3 linked regions of the Xenopus tropicalis genome follow. The protein of the gene in region 2 purifies or fractionates together with the protein of the main gene of each other region. This does not show direct contact. Links are inferred from orthologs where the notes say so. Each region holds a gene or a part of one and is shown on either strand. Other genes may lie near its edges.

What was found.
Region 1: the proteins of pds5a (region 2) and cdca5 purify together in Homo sapiens (affinity purification with mass spectrometry; 4 studies listed by BioGRID and IntAct, with this or other methods). This does not show direct contact. The link is inferred for Xenopus tropicalis from reciprocal best matches to the Homo sapiens genes PDS5A and CDCA5.
Region 3: the proteins of pds5a (region 2) and wapl purify together in Homo sapiens (affinity purification with mass spectrometry; 6 studies listed by BioGRID and IntAct, with this or other methods). This does not show direct contact. The link is inferred for Xenopus tropicalis from reciprocal best matches to the Homo sapiens genes PDS5A and WAPL.

What each region holds. Positions count from the first base shown.
Region 1 is NC_030680.2:33,584,613-33,591,062, forward strand, and holds the end of cdca5 (sororin), read right to left. Parts: intron 6,235-6,450; coding exon 6,179-6,234; intron 5,740-6,178; coding exon 5,677-5,739; intron 4,732-5,676; coding exon 4,693-4,731; intron 3,645-4,692; coding exon 3,606-3,644; intron 3,453-3,605; coding exon 2,958-3,452; intron 2,164-2,957; coding exon 2,083-2,163; 3' UTR 2,011-2,082; downstream 1-2,010. UniProt on the Homo sapiens protein: Regulator of sister chromatid cohesion in mitosis stabilizing cohesin complex association with chromatin. May antagonize the action of WAPL which stimulates cohesin dissociation from chromatin.
Region 2 is NC_030677.2:36,255,894-36,262,417, forward strand, and holds part of pds5a (sister chromatid cohesion protein PDS5 homolog A), read right to left. Parts: intron 6,495-6,524; coding exon 6,379-6,494; intron 5,678-6,378; coding exon 5,572-5,677; intron 5,049-5,571; coding exon 4,888-5,048; intron 3,895-4,887; coding exon 3,771-3,894; intron 3,037-3,770; coding exon 2,878-3,036; intron 2,779-2,877; coding exon 2,710-2,778; intron 1,335-2,709; coding exon 1,198-1,334; intron 953-1,197; coding exon 829-952; intron 1-828. UniProt on the Homo sapiens protein: Probable regulator of sister chromatid cohesion in mitosis which may stabilize cohesin complex association with chromatin. May couple sister chromatid cohesion during mitosis to DNA replication.
Region 3 is NC_030683.2:49,054,241-49,060,764, forward strand, and holds part of wapl (wings apart-like protein homolog), read right to left. Parts: intron 6,040-6,524; coding exon 5,903-6,039; intron 5,449-5,902; coding exon 5,337-5,448; intron 3,458-5,336; coding exon 3,233-3,457; intron 2,460-3,232; coding exon 2,348-2,459; intron 829-2,347; coding exon 731-828; intron 1-730. UniProt on the Homo sapiens protein: Regulator of sister chromatid cohesion in mitosis which negatively regulates cohesin association with chromatin. Involved in both sister chromatid cohesion during interphase and sister-chromatid resolution during early stages of mitosis.

The sequences.
Region 1 (6,450 bases), on a different chromosome or scaffold from region 2:
GCAACCTTCCTTTATACTGATATTTGGATGGTTTCTAAGAACCCTCAGAGGCTTGACCTCCCAACAGCAGCCCACCCATCTATAAACTGCTATACCTACAGGGAACTATTATGGGGATAACATCATGGCGCTGGGGCTTGTTAGGGCTCTGGCACACGGGGAGATTAGTCGCCCGCGGCAAAACTCCCTGTTCGCGGGCGACTAATCTCCCCGAGTTGCCTTCCCCCTGCCATCCCACCGGCGAACATGTAAGTCGCCGGTGGGATGGCAGGGGAAGGCAACTCGGGGAGATTAGTCGCCCGCGAACAGGGAGTTTTGACGCGGGCGACTAATCTCCCCGTGTGCCAGAGCCCTTAAGGCAGAAGGAAGAATAGATGTGATAAAATACAGATAAAGACTACAAGAGACCCTGTCTGAGTCTGCATAAACACAAAAGTTTGGGTGAAAAGTATTCAGCAGGAGACTGATATAAAACTCAGTGGATTAAGAAAAAAGGTGAATTTCCTATAATGTCTCAGTAAAGGCTCTCATGTTAACCATTTGCATTATTTTGAACTCGAACTGTTACACACTGGAACATATTTACCCCCAACGTACTCCAAAAAGTTGTAATAAAGTGTCCTTTAAAACAGTTTTTTTCCCCCTAAAATAAAATGTCTCATACATAATGGTCACTTTATCTGACTGGCCCACAGCCACATTTAGGGAATAATTCATATTTTGAACTTTACCCCACCCACCCATCTATTGGTAGCCTGCTCAAATAAAAATGTCACCCTCCTTCCCTGGCCACAGACAAAAGGTCTGCCCATATATAGATAATCAGCTCTAATTTCTCAGTCTGCTGCAGGATAGTTTGTAGGAAATGTCTCCCAAAGGTCTTGGTTGAGCACCAATCATTACCTCTAGCAATCGATTGCAGTGGAGCAGTTATACATTAGTATAAGCCAATACAGATCCTATAATACCAGTCGAGGGGGGAGGGGGTGTTCTTTATAAACAAATACAGGCCATTGTTCAAAAACATGATGATTAACAACTGATTAAAGTCAGATACTTGACAGGAAGGAATTATAATCTGCCTTGTGTTACACTTTTGCAATGTACTTTTTTGTTTTCTTTTTTACAGGTGGAGCAAAGCTTCTTTGTTCTTTTGGATCTGTATGCACCCCTATTCATTTTTACCAGGAGATATGTGACTGTATGTAAAGGACATACCATACAACAGTGCCAGCTTCATTGCATGTCAACAGGTTTCTATAAACTTTGAATATGATGCTAATGGCAGGAAGCAGACTATGGTTAGGTATTAAAGACCTTTCAGTGCTTCAGTCTATATGTGCCTATTACAACCACACTGAGGGCACAATAATACCCTTTTGCTGCTACAATTAAGCTTGGCCTGCTGTCAGCAAAAAGCACAGAGACTCTTAGCAAACCACTAGGCACAAACAGAAAAGCATTTTGTGCAGTGCTTACATTTCTTTCTCAGGCATAAAAGTCTCGCTCAGAATGAATCTATGCCCAAGTTTCCAGATGTCTACAGACTTACATTTTGCACTGCCTGTTTAATATTGACAAAATAAATCATTAATAGAATATTAAAACAAAAATAACCTCTTCCTCCCAAACAGCAGGCAATAAACTCACTATGAAGAGCTGCCTTATTACTTCCCATTACGGTCCACACACATTATTCAGCTCAATGGCGTACAAAATAAAAAGACAGAAGATTTCTGAAGGTACCAATATATAATGCATGTAACTTAATATTCATGGTTCATCTGATGTTAATTATGGCTTCTTCATGTAGGTAACAAACTAATAAAGGAAATACTGGCCATTCTACATTGCAGTCAGTTATACCAATGTAGAAGACTTGACTTTCATAGTTTTCTACATGAATCTATGGCTATAGAACCATGCAGCACTGAAGTTCAATCTGATGATCACCTATACCTGCACCCTCCTAAACATATATATTTAGAAAGACAGAAGATCTACACAAAATCCGAAGGAATGAATAGTCTGTATAGTAAACAAATGGTGATAAAAAGATGGACACGAGGATTCAAGTTCTCATCACTCAACAGTAAGATCAAACTTTTCAGCTTCCTCAAATTCTGCATTCATAACGGCCGCCCATTCATCCATATCAGACTTCTAGAAAAGAGAGGTACAAATATTGTAGCATTAAATACAAAGTTGACTTGCAAATTTACTAGACTTGATAATGTAAAACTCAAAAAAAAACACATTCAAGTTTCTTATTTTAAGAGCAGAACTATGACATGGAAATATAAGAATGGGGAAAGAAAAGTACAGACATAAATGAAGACGAACAAGAGCTGTGAGATAGACTAAGAGAAAAAAAGGATAAGTAATGAATTAAAGAAATAGAATAGTGTGTTATTGAACAGGATTAAATAGGGGAGACTGAATTCAGGGCAATCAGAGCCAGGGGAAATCATAATGGCTGAAGCACAAGGAATTGGACTGGAAGGTGAAGGAGGATGCATATCTTTCTCATGTGTGATAACCTGAGACAATAAAGCTGGCCGTACATGCCCAGCTGTTTGGCAGATTTCGATCATACTGCCAGATCATCTGTGCATACCTGAACACTATAGGGCCATTCAGACATATACTCCTGCAACCCCGGTGGATTGAGGATTATTGCTCCAAATAGAAAATGTCAGCCAAAAGGAAGTGAAAAGGAGTCACTGCTCCTGTTTATTTCTGCTATTACGATGATTTAGTAGTTAACCCGAATTTAAAGAATACAATAAGTTCCCAAATGTGTATGGCCCCTCAATATTGGTATCCACTTGATCAGCCAGAGGGTTGATTGCCTTGACTACCATAGAGTTTGACTCAGCATTGCCACCTTTATTATGCCTACTGATCCACTCATAACCAACTCCCTCCCCTACGGGAAAGTGTAACCACCACCTCACCTCTATAACGGGGACTTTTCGCTTTCTCCTCTTCTGCTTTGCCAGCACAACTCCAGGAATATTGTGGTCTGGCTCTTCAGGTAATATTGTACCCAAGGTTTTCTCATTAGCAGTCTTCTCCCTAGTCCCACTACCACTTTTTCTCAACTCCCCCTCTGGCATTTCAGAGTTCAGCAGTTTATCAAAACCAAACAGAGATCTCCGGCCTGATTTTGGGACTGCGTTTGGAGTGGATGTATCAGATGAGTCAGTTTTCCTTGTGGGGCTGTATAAAAATGAGCTGCTATTGAGGGACATTTCCAAACGACTGTAGGAACGCCGGACTTTCTGGGACATAACAATGTCTCTGTTATCCTGGTTAGAAGACATTTGGATATTGACAGGAATTGGAGATAGAACATCAATTTCTGGAGCAGAAGGCTTGCTGGTTGCCTCTTTGGGGACCATCTGTGATTTTTCAGAAATTGCATTTTCTTTTTGGATCTTTGGTGAAATCTGCAAAAAAAAAAAAAAAAAAAAAGACAGGATAAAAATAGGTTCTTTACCAGCCCAAGGCAACAGAGAGAAAACTAATGCACGTTTCATGCCAACAGTGAGGCAGATGAAAAAAAAAAAAAAGGTTTGCATCAGATGTTGAAAATAACTTACCCGTGAACTTCTCCTTGGAGCTGCTGTGACATTCAAAACCTGTTTAAAGAATAAAGAAAATCAGGAAACAGTCAATGAACAAAACACTACGGCTATGGAAGCAACTCACTATACTGCAGTCTGACCGCCAAAACCCATTTAATATACATTGAAAAGAGCTAAAACTATATAATCATTTAAATTAATAACACGTTTCTATCCACAATAGGGATCGGTATCACTCCCACAAACCTATTTTTTTTTCTTTTTTAAATACCCCTTAACCAACCACCCAGCCCAGCATTACTGACAGGCCAAACCTGTAAAAGGACTGCAATCTAGGTAAATACATCCTCAGCCCAGAGTGACAACCATATCATGTTTTGCTTGTAAACAAGTGGGATGCACCAAAAAGCCACAACAGGGAAGAGATTAACAAGATAGTAAGGCATTTATCTTCCTATACAAATATCAACTATCTTACTGCTTCACACTGGCAGGGCATTTTCCACATACTTTATCATAGATCCAACAAGATGAAATGTATGTTGTACATTTTAATGCCTACATCATACATAAACTACTTGTAGAAATTGTACTGTATCAGTCAGATATGGTACAGGATTCATAAAGCAATCTTATGCTTGGGGGAACGGTTCACTTCTCAGTACAGGTCACTTCCCATCAATTGGAGTCAGCTTAGGCTAAAGGTGGCCATACACGGCAAGATCTGTTCACTTGGCGAGGTCGCCAAGCGAGCGTATCTTCTCCTGATATCCCCACCTACGGGCGGGCAACATCAGGCTTATACAGATTGAATTAGAACGGCGGGTATAGGTGCTGTCCGATCTGACAAAAAGACAAACCTGCCCGATCGAGATCTGAATGATTTCAGGCCAAATGTCGGTCGGGCAGGCCTGTCGTTAGTGCCCATAGATGGGCCGATAAGCTGCTGCATCGGTCTAAAGGACTAATATCGGCAGCTAGAATCAGCCTGTGTATGGCCACCTTAAGTCAAATAGCAGAGGCATTTACACTAGTTATTTTTTAGCATCACTTAAATGCTGGAAATCATGAGATTTTTGTTACTTAAATTGTCAAGACCTACCTTAGGTGTGGACTGAGATCCTGTATTGGCAATAGCTGCCTAAAAAGACAAATAGGAATGATACAGAAAATAAGAAAAAAATTCTGGAATGCACCAGTTTTCTTTGATGAAATTCAGTTTTGCTGTTGATTAGAAATTGGTACAACCCAAATAATGCTTACAAAGGCTAAGATTCTGCCATGTGAATGTGAGGATTAAATACAGCAGTCTGTCTGTACTCTGCTAATGTCAGGTTCAGGCCTTGGGTGCTGAAACCAGTTATAGTAGCAACATTGAGTCTGAAATGTTAGAAAAAATGCTTCTGATTCAGTTCAGGTAAGTACAAATTAAATAAAAGTAGTGTGAGAGCAAGTTTTAAAAAACATATGCTGGAATCTGAGCTGGTAGCTATGTTTTGGAAACAGAGGACAAAAATACATCAGTGAGCAATTTGGAAATACACCAATGTAAATCAGCATTGCCTAATCATACACTAAACATGCAATACATAATCATATATTATAGATTGGCACAAGTTAAATCTTATCTTACTTCTGTTCCTATATAATTAATAATCAAGAATTCTGATAATTCTAGAAAAATGCACAACAATTTGGAAAAATTGTAGCATCTTACTGATAAAAACATACAAAGAATTTTTACACTATGAACTGAAGACAACAAAGATTTACAGTGCTGAACAATGGGAGAATGACACTATTGCAGCAGGGAATGTAAGGATTTACAAAAAAGGTAATGCTCTTCCCAGAGAAATAATTATATTGGCACCAGGAAAAAATTACCATTAAATGAAGCCTAGGTGCCTATATTTCCCCACCTGGTGTTGTAGTGAGTCACAAAGTAGCTATATTATTCCCCCTGCTTCACTCAGCACTAATGTGAGCGGAACTAGCTACTTCCTTTTATATATGCATTAGTCCCCAATATTATTATATCAGAAGAAGGGTAAAGCTTTCTTTTTTCATAACACGACAGTATATTTACCAGTGTTTTTCTGGGCATTATTTTCTTGACCGTAATTGAACGTTTCATGATAGGATCTGGGATCTGAAAAATACAAAATTTAAAATAACTTAAAAGGGGTCATTCACCTTTAATTTACTTTCAGTATGGTGTAGACAGTATATTATCAGATGATTTCCAAATGGCCTTCATTTTTTGTGGATTTGGAATTTAGGTTATCTGATTGCTAGGGTCCAATGTACCACAGCTGCAAGACAGTGGTTTAAATAATAGACTGGAAGGTAAAAGGGACTGGGGCAAGTTGCAATAAAATTGTAGATTCGGAGATCAATAGTCTTTTGGGTGCCGGGTCTCTGAATCTTTTTAAATGCTGGAAATGGGTAGAGGAATGCAAATTATAACAACTATGGAAAGTGAAGATCAACTTAAAAGAACAGGACAAGATTGCTTCAAGGTGGATTTTCCCTTTACTAGAGTGTTGAATGGAGCTGGCTAATAGAGGGATGGAAAGTAAAGAACATACCGGACTGTCTGAAGCAGATTTTCTTTGGGATCTTCTTTTAGGTGGAGAGACGATACCTGCAAATGAAAAGGGTGGCAAAAAATGAGATACAAGTGTTAAAATAATATACAACAAATCAAAACATCCCCAGACATACTATGGCAGAGAACATGAGGGTAAAAATCACAAGAGTTTTGATCATTACAGGTCCTGAAAGGAAGGAACACCACTGCCAACATCAGCATCCCATTCACATTTGCCATAATGTCAATATCACTCGGGAAATCTGTTTT
Region 2 (6,524 bases):
TTACAAGCAGCTGAACTCCATCTCTTTTACTGACTTCCTTGTCTAGCATGAAGCCCCACCCCTTTTGCTTTATGAGCATTTCTTTTGTCTGTGACTATAAAGACCTCAAAGAGGTGCCTACTGCACATGCCTAATTTTAATTAAACCAGACAGAGTGAGTATGCCCAGTAGGCACCTATTTAAGGCCTTCATAATCAGAAAGAGGAGGAGTGGGGTGGAGTGTCACGCTATACAAGGAAGTCGGTAAAAGTGCTGCAGTTGAACTGGCTGTAATAGAGGAAAACAATCTGCATGCAGGGAGAAAGGTAGATTATTCTGGGGGCTGCTTAGAGTAATTTTATAGGATTTTAAAATAAAGGCTTACATATCTTTTAAGGAATCACATTAAAGATTATGTTCTGAAGAGTGGCATTATAAGCAGAATCAGCATGGTTTTATGAGGGACATAGCAAGTGGGACTAGCCAACTGGGAATGGAAATGTTGTAGAAAAAGGAAGGGGGGGGGTCCTCATAACTGTGTATAAATATACAAGAGCACTATAGAATAAACTCTTGGATGCTTTATTTAACAGATCCTTCCAGTGGACGTGTCCATTCTAATTACAAGAGGTTCTGTCTGCTGGTTAAAATGAGAGGTCTAGAATTTCTAGGGAATACTTTGATCACACGTCTTCCACAATAACTGCACCCCTGACAGGCCCTCAGAATGGCCAGGCAGTTATAGCCACAAAAAACAGCTATTCATTAGTATACAATTCTGGGTGTATGTGCAGCTGAGCAAACCTGTTACCCTTTAAACATGTAGAAGATTAGAATGGGGGAACTTACATTGATAACCAACGCACAGAGCTGAAACTGCTCGGGAGTAATAATTTCATGATAGCATGGTTCCTGAGCAAGCTTCATGATAGCACCTCCAGCAGCCAACCTCAAGCGAGACATGTCGGATTTACTGAAACAGTGTAAGATTATGTGAGTCAGTATACAGCAAGGGACTGATAGGAATAGTCTTCTAATAGTCATTTATACAAAATTAAGCAAATGAATCACTGCAGCTAAGCACACCAAATGGGACAGAAATCATAATGGTGGGTAAAGCATGTCAGCAAAATAAGGAAGCGCTTTAACTTCCTTCCTACTTCTACTAAATCCAGCAAAAATCCAGCAAAGGTCTTGCACAATAGTCTTAAAATGTACCTTATTCTCTTCTGTTCCGTCAGATCTCCCTCGCTCACAAGCATAGCCGATAATAACCGTAGCGTGGAGTTTGCTGACTTTGACTGGTTGTTTTTCATGCCCAGCAACCAACGAACTAATAGCTTTATTGCTTGGCCCTGATAAGAGACAGTATTAATCATATAAATAGCTCTTGCATTAAACTTATGAAAACTACTATTTTTTTGGTACCAAGATACAGTGCTACATATATTCAATACACCAGTATTGGCATTCTTCTGCTCTGAATACTGCTAAGTAAAAAGATTAGAGATCATTGGCCTCACTAGCCAAATTTGTGGTATATTACATAATTTCAGAGGATCACCCATTGACAAACGCATCTTTACAAAAGCTATGCTGGCTACTACTCACATTATCTGCACAATTATAATCCCAAGCCAGCCTTGAAACATGTTCTTTAATACATTTGTAACATGTTTAAGTCAGAGCATCCCAGGATGAGAATGCATTTTAGTGCTAGTTTTCCTTTTAAAAAAAAAAAAGATTGGCCAAATCTGAACCAAAGTCTCGAATGATTTGTCTCCTCGTCGTCCTCTTTTGGAAACCTGGAGATGAGGAAATGCTCTGAGCTTAGAAGTACCAAGAGCCCTTGAAGAGGAATTCAACTGAGGGGGAAGCCCCCTTACAGGGCTAAAGGACAACCCCTGGAGTCAGATATCTGTTTAAAACAGAGAATGCCCTAAACATGAGGAAAAAATGCTTAATTTATACGGCAGGGGCACTAGGACACGCAGCCCTTATATAACGGAGGCAGCCAAATTAATGCTGATAAAGCAGGGTCTGTGTGGCTTGGACAGGCACTGGTGGAGGCTATACCATACTGTTCCTGTGCCCCCCAAGTTGATGTTAAAGGAACAGTAACACCAAAAAATGAAAATGTATCAAAGAAATTATAATGTACTGCTGCCCTGCACTGGGTAAAGTTGTGTGTTTGCTTCAGAAAGACTACTATAGTTTATATAAATACCCTGCTGTGTAGCAATGGGGGCAGCCATTCAAAACGTGAAAAGTCACAGGTTGCATAGCAGATGACAGATAAAACACAATCATCTACAGAGTTTATCTGTTATCTGCTGTGCAGCCTGTGCCTTTTCTCCAGCTTGAATGGCTGCCCCCCCCATGGCTACACAGCAGCTAATTTATATAAACTATTGTAATGTTCCAGAAGCAAAAAGGAAACTAAATGGAACCAAATGGAATTCTACGCATAAAAGGACCCAAAGGGATGTTCTGAAAACCAAAAACTTTATTTCTCCATTACAATTATTAAGCTGGATGCGTTTTGTGCGTCATCGCACTTGATCATAGGCATGTGATAATTTGTTCTGGGTTATTATTCCAGAAGAAAACACACAACTTACCAATGCAGGCTAAAAGTACTTAGTTTTTGAATTACTTTAAACACTTATTTTTTGGTGTTACTTTCAATATGGCTTTCTGGTATTTTGGCTGAAATGAGGACAATCTTACTTTAGCAAGAACTTCTGGCGATACTTCCTCATCTGGGCACCACAGTTTGCCATTCTTGTCACCATTGGACTAGAAATTTGAGAAACAAAATAGATTTACATTAACGTTACATCATTATTTCAATTAAGTACCAAGGGATTGGGGGTTTGGGGTGGAAAGGAGACATACCCGGTCGTTCATAAGAAGATCCTTTACAATGAAGTTTGCCACAACAGATTTCATTGGAGAAGCAAATTGGTCAGGAGCCAACATAGAAATGTGACCCAGAGAGACTAGAGGTGTAACTAGCTGTTCTGGTACATCTGCGTTTAAGCTTCTACTGAGGGGCTGGAAGAGAGCAGACAATGAACACACCAATTAAAAGATAAAATATAACCTATTATCTTCTACAACTTTCTAACATGCTGCTAAAAATTCCAAACTGAATCTGAACCTGAATGTGTGTCAGTGAGTTATACTCATCTGAAGGAACGTGTTAAAAAAAATAAAATAAAAAATGATGTGTTTCGGGCTAATTTATTGAGAAATTCCCTCAAAAGATCTATAGGGAGCTCCAATAAAGGGGCCATTTTTAAAGATAATGATCTTTATTAGCCCAGAGTGACAAATTATGAAAAATGAAACTAGGTACAATAGATAGACTGCTTCTTGAAAGCAGGAAGTAGTGTTCTGGCTATTATGTTAGACATCTGCCCAATCCAGCGTTTATATATTACATTTTTGCCAAACAACTCCCCCCATGAAGGTCCAACACCTTTTGTCTGGTCCCTGATTGATTTCAGAATACAGCATTGTCTATCCCTTTAGCAGTTTCCTATTTAAACAAATAATTTCTGATGGACTTGCATTCGCCCTAATAAGCCTGCACCCTGCATTTGATATTAGCTTAGATAGTACTGAAGACAAAAAAAAAAAAATCATTCTGTTTTTGAAAATGCGGTTGTTAAATTACTCAAGAGATAAAGATTGATAAAGGAAGGTTTTTCTGTGCAATACAAGATAAACAGCATTCCAATTTTCTAGTCAATACAATAACCTGTCTAGAATAAAGAAATTGTTACCTCAAATATTTGAGCCAGCTGCACTTCCTTGTTGGAAAATATAGAATGGATGCAGTGCACAGCTTGCTTTGCTTGGTGCGGGGTTCCTCTTTTGGCTTTTTGGTGCAATATTGGGATAAGTGCGCTAATAACAGAGAAAAAACCAACTTTGATTATTGATTATTCATAGAAACTGCAGTTTACCAAAATCAGAATTTGGTGCAACTGGCCAGTGGCAGGTAGAACAATTTGAAAGTCTTGCCAAATGCCAAAATGATCAAAATAGCCCTTGTCTTTTGTGAATGGACTGCAAGTGAATTACAAAACCATTTTCTAGTAATTCATATACATGAAAAAATTGCCCATGTTTAAAGGCCCAAAATCTACAATATGAATATCAAATGTGGGCTGCTGTTGCCTTTTTGTCTTTCTACTATGCGATCTGCTACCTGAGCTCAATAAAGTAATGGTAAGGTAAATTTCCTAACAAAAGTATTTAGAAAAGATACTTCAAATGTTAAAAAGTGATGTTACAGTTCCTTTGAACTCATACTAATACTTAAAGGGGAACTCAGGCTTCAAAAACAAAATTTGTTAAAGAGCCTGTCTTCACCCTAAGGCAGGCTGAGGACAGTTGACTGTGGTTACATTTTTTTGAGTCTCAAAGTAGTCAGCCAGATCAGCAGGAGATCAGGGGAGCAGGCTTAGGTAACCGTTTCAAAACCATATTACATTAAAAACAATCAATTGATGTATATTGCAAATTTAATTGAAATTATGTTTACTTTTCAAAAAGCTGTATTTGGGTGGAGATATGCAGCTATCAAAGTAAAGCTGGAAAGGAAAGTTTGATGGGCAGTCCCAGAGTGGCTATAAAGTGGGTTGCTCCAAATGGACTCAAAACAAGCTCATGGAGATTCAAGCTTGTTTAACCTAACAATATGAGCACCCCTAAAATGGTGCAGCACTCTGGGAACCTGTCTGCACCCTCTCTTATGCTGGGGTCTCACTGGGATAAGAATTGAGGGACATAACTGAAGCTGTACAGTAGTACTCAGTGCTACAAACACCTAAACAACTAAATGACTTGAGTGATTATCATGGGCTTTGTTTCTCGTGGCAGCAAAAGGAAACTTACGATCTAATCTGTGGCAGGTCAGTCTCAATTTTGTGCCCTGTGTTTCTAAAGATCTGGATAGCTGCTTCAGCTACTTTATCATCTTCCATACGGAGGCACTGAAGGAAGGATTCATATGTTTCAGCAGAATGAAATGAGGTAGGGTGGGTGAAGGAAAGTACCTGAAAAAAAAAAAATATATATATGCCATGGAAGGTTAAGAGATAATATGTACTATGTGCGCCATTCATGTTATCAAATGAGACTTTCTATAAATAAACATTAACAGTCTACAACAAGAGAACGAACGGCAAGCAAAACCCTGAACAATGTTTCAAGAGCAGCAGTTTCCTGTTATAGTAGACGGCTGCTATGGTTTACCTTTACTTCAAAATATGTCTAATGGAAAAGCTGAGGATTAAATGTATTTTTTGCATTGTGTAACTTGATAGAATGGAATTCACACTTTTTATACAAGAAAAGGGAGTGCTGGTACAATTACTATTTACAGTATATTAATATTTTGACCTGTGCATCCAGCTTTTTCATAATTGTCAGGGGTTTAAATCCAGTGGAGACAAACACACACAAATATATGGGAACATATACAACACTAGTCTGCACATCTGGATATAGTAAAGCACAGTATTTTCAATTTTCTGACATGACTGGTGTTTTGAGCAAGGAAATTACTTAACAACGTACCTTTAGCAGTTCCAAACCTGCCCTTATGGCAGAATCAGGGCTCACACCCTCCTCTTCATCATCAGCTGTACCTTCTATTGACTTATTCATTAGCTTCACTAGAGCACTGGAAAGAAACATATCAAGCAAATACCAACATGAATAATAGGTGGTTATTATCACAAGTTTATGGCTCTCTCTCTTTCATGTTCAGGTTCCAACTCTCTCTCACCTCTCCCACTGCCTAAGTTCAGGGCTAGGTCTCTATTCCCAAGTCTGTGTGACAGCTATACTTCCTCACTATTGTGTGTGCCAGGTCCCCCCTCCTCTTTTCCATTCCATCCCCAACCTTCCAGTACAGCTTCTGGTGAATTATAATTTAAAATGGAAGCATAATGTGCCAGCCCCCAGCAACAGGAGGAGGTATCAGTATCCCTGTGGAAAGCCACACCTACAGGATAACCAAAGGATGGGCCAGTCTAGGCCTCACCAGCTCACATTTACAGTATATGCACATAGATAAATTGTAGAAAAAAAGCTTGATATAAGCTTTTGCAGCAACTGCATTAAAGTACATTTATACAAACTGTGAATTCCCCAACTGTCTCAAATTAGAGTTTTTAAAGTCAGGTCATTGATAAACCCTTAAAAGGGTTGTTCACCTTAAAATTAACTGTAAGTATGATGTAGAAATTCTGTGGTTTTTGATTTTTGTTTAGCAGCTCTACAATTCACAATTTCAGTTGAAATTACCCTAGCAACCAGCCTATGCAAGCACGAAGGGACTGCAATTTTCTTAAAAACAGAGAATACAAGGAGAGACTGTACCTGATAGCTTCTGAATCTATATGCACCGGAGCAATTCTTTCCAGTAAGAACTTGACCATTTCCAGGAAAGGATTTGTAGGTTGCTTGGGATTTGCAAGCTTACGAGCTATATCCCTCTGCAATAAAAATATTAGCATCAAAAATAG
Region 3 (6,524 bases), on a different chromosome or scaffold from region 2:
GTAGGACCTGAATTTAAGTGCTTTACATGGTATTTTGACTAAAACACTTCACAGAGAGAAAGAGTGTGCTCATAATGCCTTCAATTAATTGTGGCATTCCCAGGCATCAGCAAACATTTTTTTGTTTTACTAATTTCAGTTAAAAGTGTTGGTAGATAGTCGAATGAGTTGAAAACTGTGGTCCTTGCTGAACCCATCACAGAGGTGAAAATGCCAAACTGAAATATCCCTAAAAGTTGTTTTTTTGCCAAAGGGGCATGGGCTTGCCTTAGCAGTAACCCGTAGGTAAATGTACCAGATAGCCCTCCTCTGCAGTTTTCTGCATCCATGAAGTCACACTTAGATAAAAATGAGGAAATGTACTGAAAAGTGAGTAGACTAGTCTCGTTGACATCTGAAGCCTTTGTAACAATTCCACTTTCAAAGGTTTTTGGCAGAAATTTTTAGCTACAGAATATGCTAACAAATATGAATATTTATATGGCTTGGGTTTAAACTATATAAATATATAAGGAAGATGACAAAGATAGTACACAAACATGTCCCCCTGCAGGCATTAAAAGAAATATGTAACTAACTGTACTCGGAAGGTACAAATCTCCATGTAACTTTAAGCTGAAAGGATGGCAATGGTTCTACAAACTAGAATCCATTTAAGATAAAATGTAATTTGTTTAATCATGTTATTACAGCTTTATGCTGAAGAAATAAGCAAACTTAGGACACTCACGCTCTCTAAGACCCGTAAACATCGTTCTGCTCCCCACAAAGAAGCAACTAATTTTTCTTCACTTTCATCACGGTCAAGGTGATTAGCACATTCTTTAACTATGAGGGGGGAAAAAATTGTTAAACACAAGGAAAACAAATACGGGACATAAAGGGCACATAATAAAAATATAAAATTGCTTAGAGTCAGAGCATGCTGCAGCAAGCCTTTTTTAATACTTCAGGATTGGGTCTAGTGCTCTCTAGGCTTAATCAAATAAAACTGAACGGGCATATCCTGCAGAGGGAAAATTATATTTTGCTGTTCTGACCAGCTGTTGCCTAGGCTGAACAGTAGAGGTCACTCAGAGTACATTCCATAAACTTAGCACAGTCAGAACTGCTGATATCTTAAAAAAAAAACACCAATATTAAAGTTAAAAATGTTCGTATTATAACACTGAAATTGTACAGTTATAATGTACCCTATACGTTTCTGTTAAAGGGAAACTTCACTGAGACACAACATGCATGCTGTCTGTGAAAACATCAATGTTTTAGTCCCTTCTCCCCTGCCAGGATTTTAAATAATGCAGAAACATATCATATTTATATGCTGAAATCCAGCTGCAAAAAAAAGGTCTTTATTCATACTTTTTGAAGGAACAGATTACAGCGATATGTATATTAGGGTTTTGTGTGGGGCTGTTTAACAAATCTTGATTCGGAAGCCAGAGTTCAACTTTAAAACAACTAAACAATGTTGCATGATAGAACAGTTTTATAACAAGCCCTTGTAATCCCTTACACACCAAAACACACTGTAGTTTATAAAATTTCCAGTCCCCAAATAAATCCCTGTATAATGAGCAACTCCTCAAGTTGCAGCAAGGGAAAAAAAAAACCTGCTCACTTGTACAGAGCTCATTATCTTTAAGTTGCAGCAAGGGGAAGGTAGTATAGGTAAATGCAAAGAAATGAACTGTAGCCGTGATATATTATATATGAAAATTCTTCCGTCAACCCCCCCCCCCCTTAGCTCCATTTGCATATGTCTAAATCTTTTGTGAAGGATTCTGGGTAGGGCTGAATCCCAAAATAGTGGATATGGTGAATTCATAACAAAAATCAAGTAGTAGTGATTAAAACATCCCTTGCAACATAAGCTCTATTACATCAGACCTAAAGGTGGCCATATATGGGCCAAGTTTAGCTGCCAACTGGGCCTCACCAAATAAGCCTGTACACCAGGAAAAGGACTGCTAAACTTTGAGCACCCCTTGCTAAATTTTGTTAATACTGTAAGTGAAAAAGTAGGAAATATCTAATACAGGTATATGTGTGTTTAAAATACAAGACATTTGCAAATGCTATGGCAGTTAAATTTTATTTCACAGACTTTAAAACACAGAAACACAAAAAATAGTAATTGTGGCAATTGCCAATTTTATTATAAAATATTATAAAAAGTTATGTGTACATTTAATTGCTATAATCATAATTATCCTCCTATTATTATTATCAACATTTATTTATAAAGCACCAACATATTCTGCAGCGCTGTAAAATAAGTTAGGATAGTGTAACAGAAGTGCTAAAGGTGTAGGACTGTATGTATAATTAAAGCAACAGAACATACCTTTATCCACAATATGATCAAGACCACCTAGAAGTCTTAACTCCTCTTTAAACCAGTCTCCTGCTCGTTTTGACGTAAGAGATAGTAATGTTTCCATTGCCAAGTGTCCAGTCTGTGTTGAGGACAAAAAGCCAAATGAACAGATAAATAGAAAAACACACCAACCACATGTAGGAATGTTTTCCGGATTAATAACTGCTTGTCTGCAATAGAACAAATTTAAGTGTTTTTAAAGTAATTAAAATATAATGTACTGTTGCCCTGCATTGGTATAACCGGTGTATTTGCTACAGAAACACTACAACAGTTTATATAAATAATGTGCTGTGTAGCTATGGGGCAGCAATTTAAGATGGAAAAATGAGAAAAAAGGCACAGGTAACACAGCAGATATCAGATAATCTCTGTAGAATAACTGGGTTTTAACTGTTATCTGCTCCTTTGAATAGCTACACAGCAGCTTTGGTTGTATAAACTATAGTAGTCTTTCAGTGGCAAAACACACCAGCTGCACCAGTGCAGGGCAACAGTACATTATATCGTAGTTACTTTTATACACTTTCATTTTTTGGTGCTACTGTTCCTTTAACTGCCAATACCATAGCTTTAATGTTTTCCCATTCCAAATTATGCTATAAGGAATGCATTTTGGCTAGCAACAAGCGGGAGACTATTTTGTAACTTGTGTCTTTAGCTTTAACTGAATGTGGCCATACATGTAAGAAAAACGGTCTTTCCTATGGAAAGTTGCGATTTGCTATAAAATAAAAAAAAAAGGAATCATGAAAAATAAAAAATCTAAATGCCACATAAAACCTGTTGAGAAGCCATATAAGTTACTTTAAAATTGTTACAAAGGAATGAACAACCCTGATAGGGACGTACCGTAATGTTTTCCAAATCTAAATGTTTGTTGTGGACAGTTTCACACAGTTTGCGTATCTTCTCTTTGATTTTGTTCATTTCTTTCTCATTCATTTGTCTGGCTGAGGGGTCTTGTTCCATTTCTAAAAGTCGGATCATAAGATCCAAGCTCGCCCTATCTAGGTCCATGTTTAAGCGATCCCTGCTCAGTATATACATCAGTGCAGCAGTGCAAAGTGCTAGATTCTAATAATGAAAAAACAAAACCAGATATAAACAAACAGATAAATGCTCATGAAAACAATGTACCATTACTTATTTTGAACTAATAAGATAATTCAGGAAAAAATATCCTTGTCAAGCTTAGCTGCCAATGAATAACAGACAGATTATGTTCTGCCCTGTTGAACTCTTAGCACCACTCAACTTTAAAAAAATATAGGGTATGGCATACTGTCATGGCAAAACAAGTTTTTTTTTTCAAAATGCATTTAATAGAGCTTCTTGAGCAGAATCCTGCATTGAAATCTGTTTTTCAAAAATCAAAAAATTTCACATGGGGTTAACCATGTTCTTCATTTCCCAGGGTGCCACAGCCATGTGACCTGAGCTCTGATAAACTTCAGTTATAGCCGATCAGCAGAACAATGGGAAGGCAGCAAGATAGCAGCTCCCAGTAGATAGCAGAATAGCACTCAATAGTAAGAAATCCAAGCCCCACTTAAAGGAACAGTAACACCAAAAAATGAAAGTGTATAAAAGTAATTACAATATAATGTACTGTTGCCCTGCACTGGTACAACTGGTGTGTTTGCCTCAGAAAGACTACTATAGTTTATATAAGTAAGCTGCTGTGTAGCCATCGGGGCAGCCATTCAAAGGAGAAAAGGCACAGGTTACATAGCAGATAACAGACAAACCCCCATTATATGGGGCTTATCTACTAGTTTTCTGCTATGTAACCTGTGCCTTTTCTCCTTTTTTCCAGCTTGAATGGCTGCCCCCATGGCTACACAGCAGCTTATTTATATAGTAGCTTTTCTGAAGCAAAAACACCAGTTTTTTTGCAGAGCAATAGCACATTATATTTTAATTACTTTAAAACAATTTAAGTTTTTGATGTTACTGTTTCTTTAAGGGCTCTGGCACATGGGGAGATTAGTCGCCCGTGACAAATCTCCCTGTTAGCGGGCGACTAATCTCCCCGAAATGCCATCCTATCGGCGAAAATGTAAATCGCCGGTGAGATGGCATACGCGGCGGCGCGATTTCAGTGACATCGCGGAAGTTGCCTCGAGAGGAAACTTCTGCGATTTCACTGGAATCGCGCCACCGCGTATGCCATCCCACCGGCGATTTACATTTTCGCTGATGGAATGGCATTTCGGGGAGATTAGTCGCCCGCGAACAGGGAGATTTGTCACAGGCGACTAATCTCCCTGTGTGCCAGAGCCCTAAGACTCCTCCAGTTACATGGAGGCAGGAAAAACAATAGGTTATCTGAAAGCAGTTCTAATGTGTAGTGCTGGCTCTTTTTAAAAGCTCAGGCACAATGCACTGAGATGGCTGTCTACACACCAATATTACAAACTAAAAAAATATATATATATTTGTTGGTTCAAGAATTACCATTTTAAAATGTTAGAGTGAATAATTTACTATGTAAACAGCATAATTTAGAAATAAAAATGACACCATAAAAATCATGACAGAATCCCTGTCCCTAATGATGTGATGATTTAGCAGCAGATGTATCACATCAAAGTGCTACTGACATTCATTACTAATCATGCAGTACAGTACCATTCATGTCTATCAAAAGGAGAACTCAGCAAAGAAAAAGCGGTGGAGCTTCATTTTAGACTAGGAAGTAGCTAAGAAATTAGCTGCTTGTGACACAGAATCGACATGAGGGGCTTTTATGATAAAGGCTTACTTATCCTTAAAAAAAAAAATTATATATATTATACACACACACTTTTTTTTAATTTGTTTCTGCTTTACTGTTACCAGCGACCTAAAAAATTCTGAGGCTATTATTGTTATTTTTTATTATAATGATCTTTATTATAATAGTCCTAATGGTGCAATGAAAGCAAGTCTTGAGTTGACGGTTTGAAAATACCTGGTGTTGCTGACTATCATCCAGTGTTTTGAAGACCATGGCTACCATTCCATGCGCTCTCAGATGCATTCGGAAACTTGGCATGGCACATTTTGTCGCCAGGCTTATTACACTGTAACGAGGAGACGCATATATCAGTTTACAAAATTTACAAATCTTAACAGAGAGAACTATACAAAAAAATATATAATTTCTTAAAAATCAAGATGCAAAATAAAAAAATGTCCTATGACATGATTTCAGGATAAGAAATATAGTTAAATTGTAGTCTTCTTTAAAATAGATTTGTAATAACTTATTAAAAATTCCAGCCGTACAAGCAGTCATCCCAATCCTCCAAAGAAATCAGCTTAAAAAGGCCAGTGGTCAGCATATCACATATGCAACTCCGAATCAGCCACTTGTGATAATTTGCAACATTAATAAGGGGAAGACAGTGACAAGACTAGTTTACTACCTCTGTCACAGTTAGGTCAGTGAATCTGTTTAAGGCATAAAACCAAAAGCATGCATGCAGATATATGCAGAGACTGTTGGCACTGCCTAGGAAGGCATATATCTCTTACCTAAGGCAACGTGTGTTTATGGGCTGACTGCTTTTAAGCCCACTTAGCAGATATTCAATATCATCAGTGAATTCTTGATTCTCTCCAAATTCTACAACATCGTTGAAGTGCTTTACATGCTGAACTACAGTATATAACTAGAACAAAATAAAGGTATGTTACCAGCAGATTAAACAAAGTATACATAAAATAGACCTTTCTTTTTAGGGGCAAGTTACCACATGCAGATAACAGGCCAAATCAGTTGCACCTTAGCAGAAGATGCACAAACCTAAAATTTTATTCACATGGCCATATACCCATTAGATAAATATGAAAAAGGAGCTCTGCAGTGTATTGTTATTATTCTTTTAATGGACTTGCACTTTTACCCACTGTAATCAAAATGAGTATATGTATGACCAGCTTTAGTCTTTGAAATAGAAGCAATCTATTCCAGTTTTGTTTTTTACTGTTATTTAAAGGAGAAGGAAAGGCTAACAAAGAGTTAATATCTCAAGCTGCAGGCATACCTTCAGTTGTCTCAATAGTGCCCTTAAGTCCCCCCCATATTTCTCCCGTTCAGTTGATCAGAAGTCTCAAAGGAAAAAAAACGCTGAGCTCTGTAAAGAAAGTTCCCATA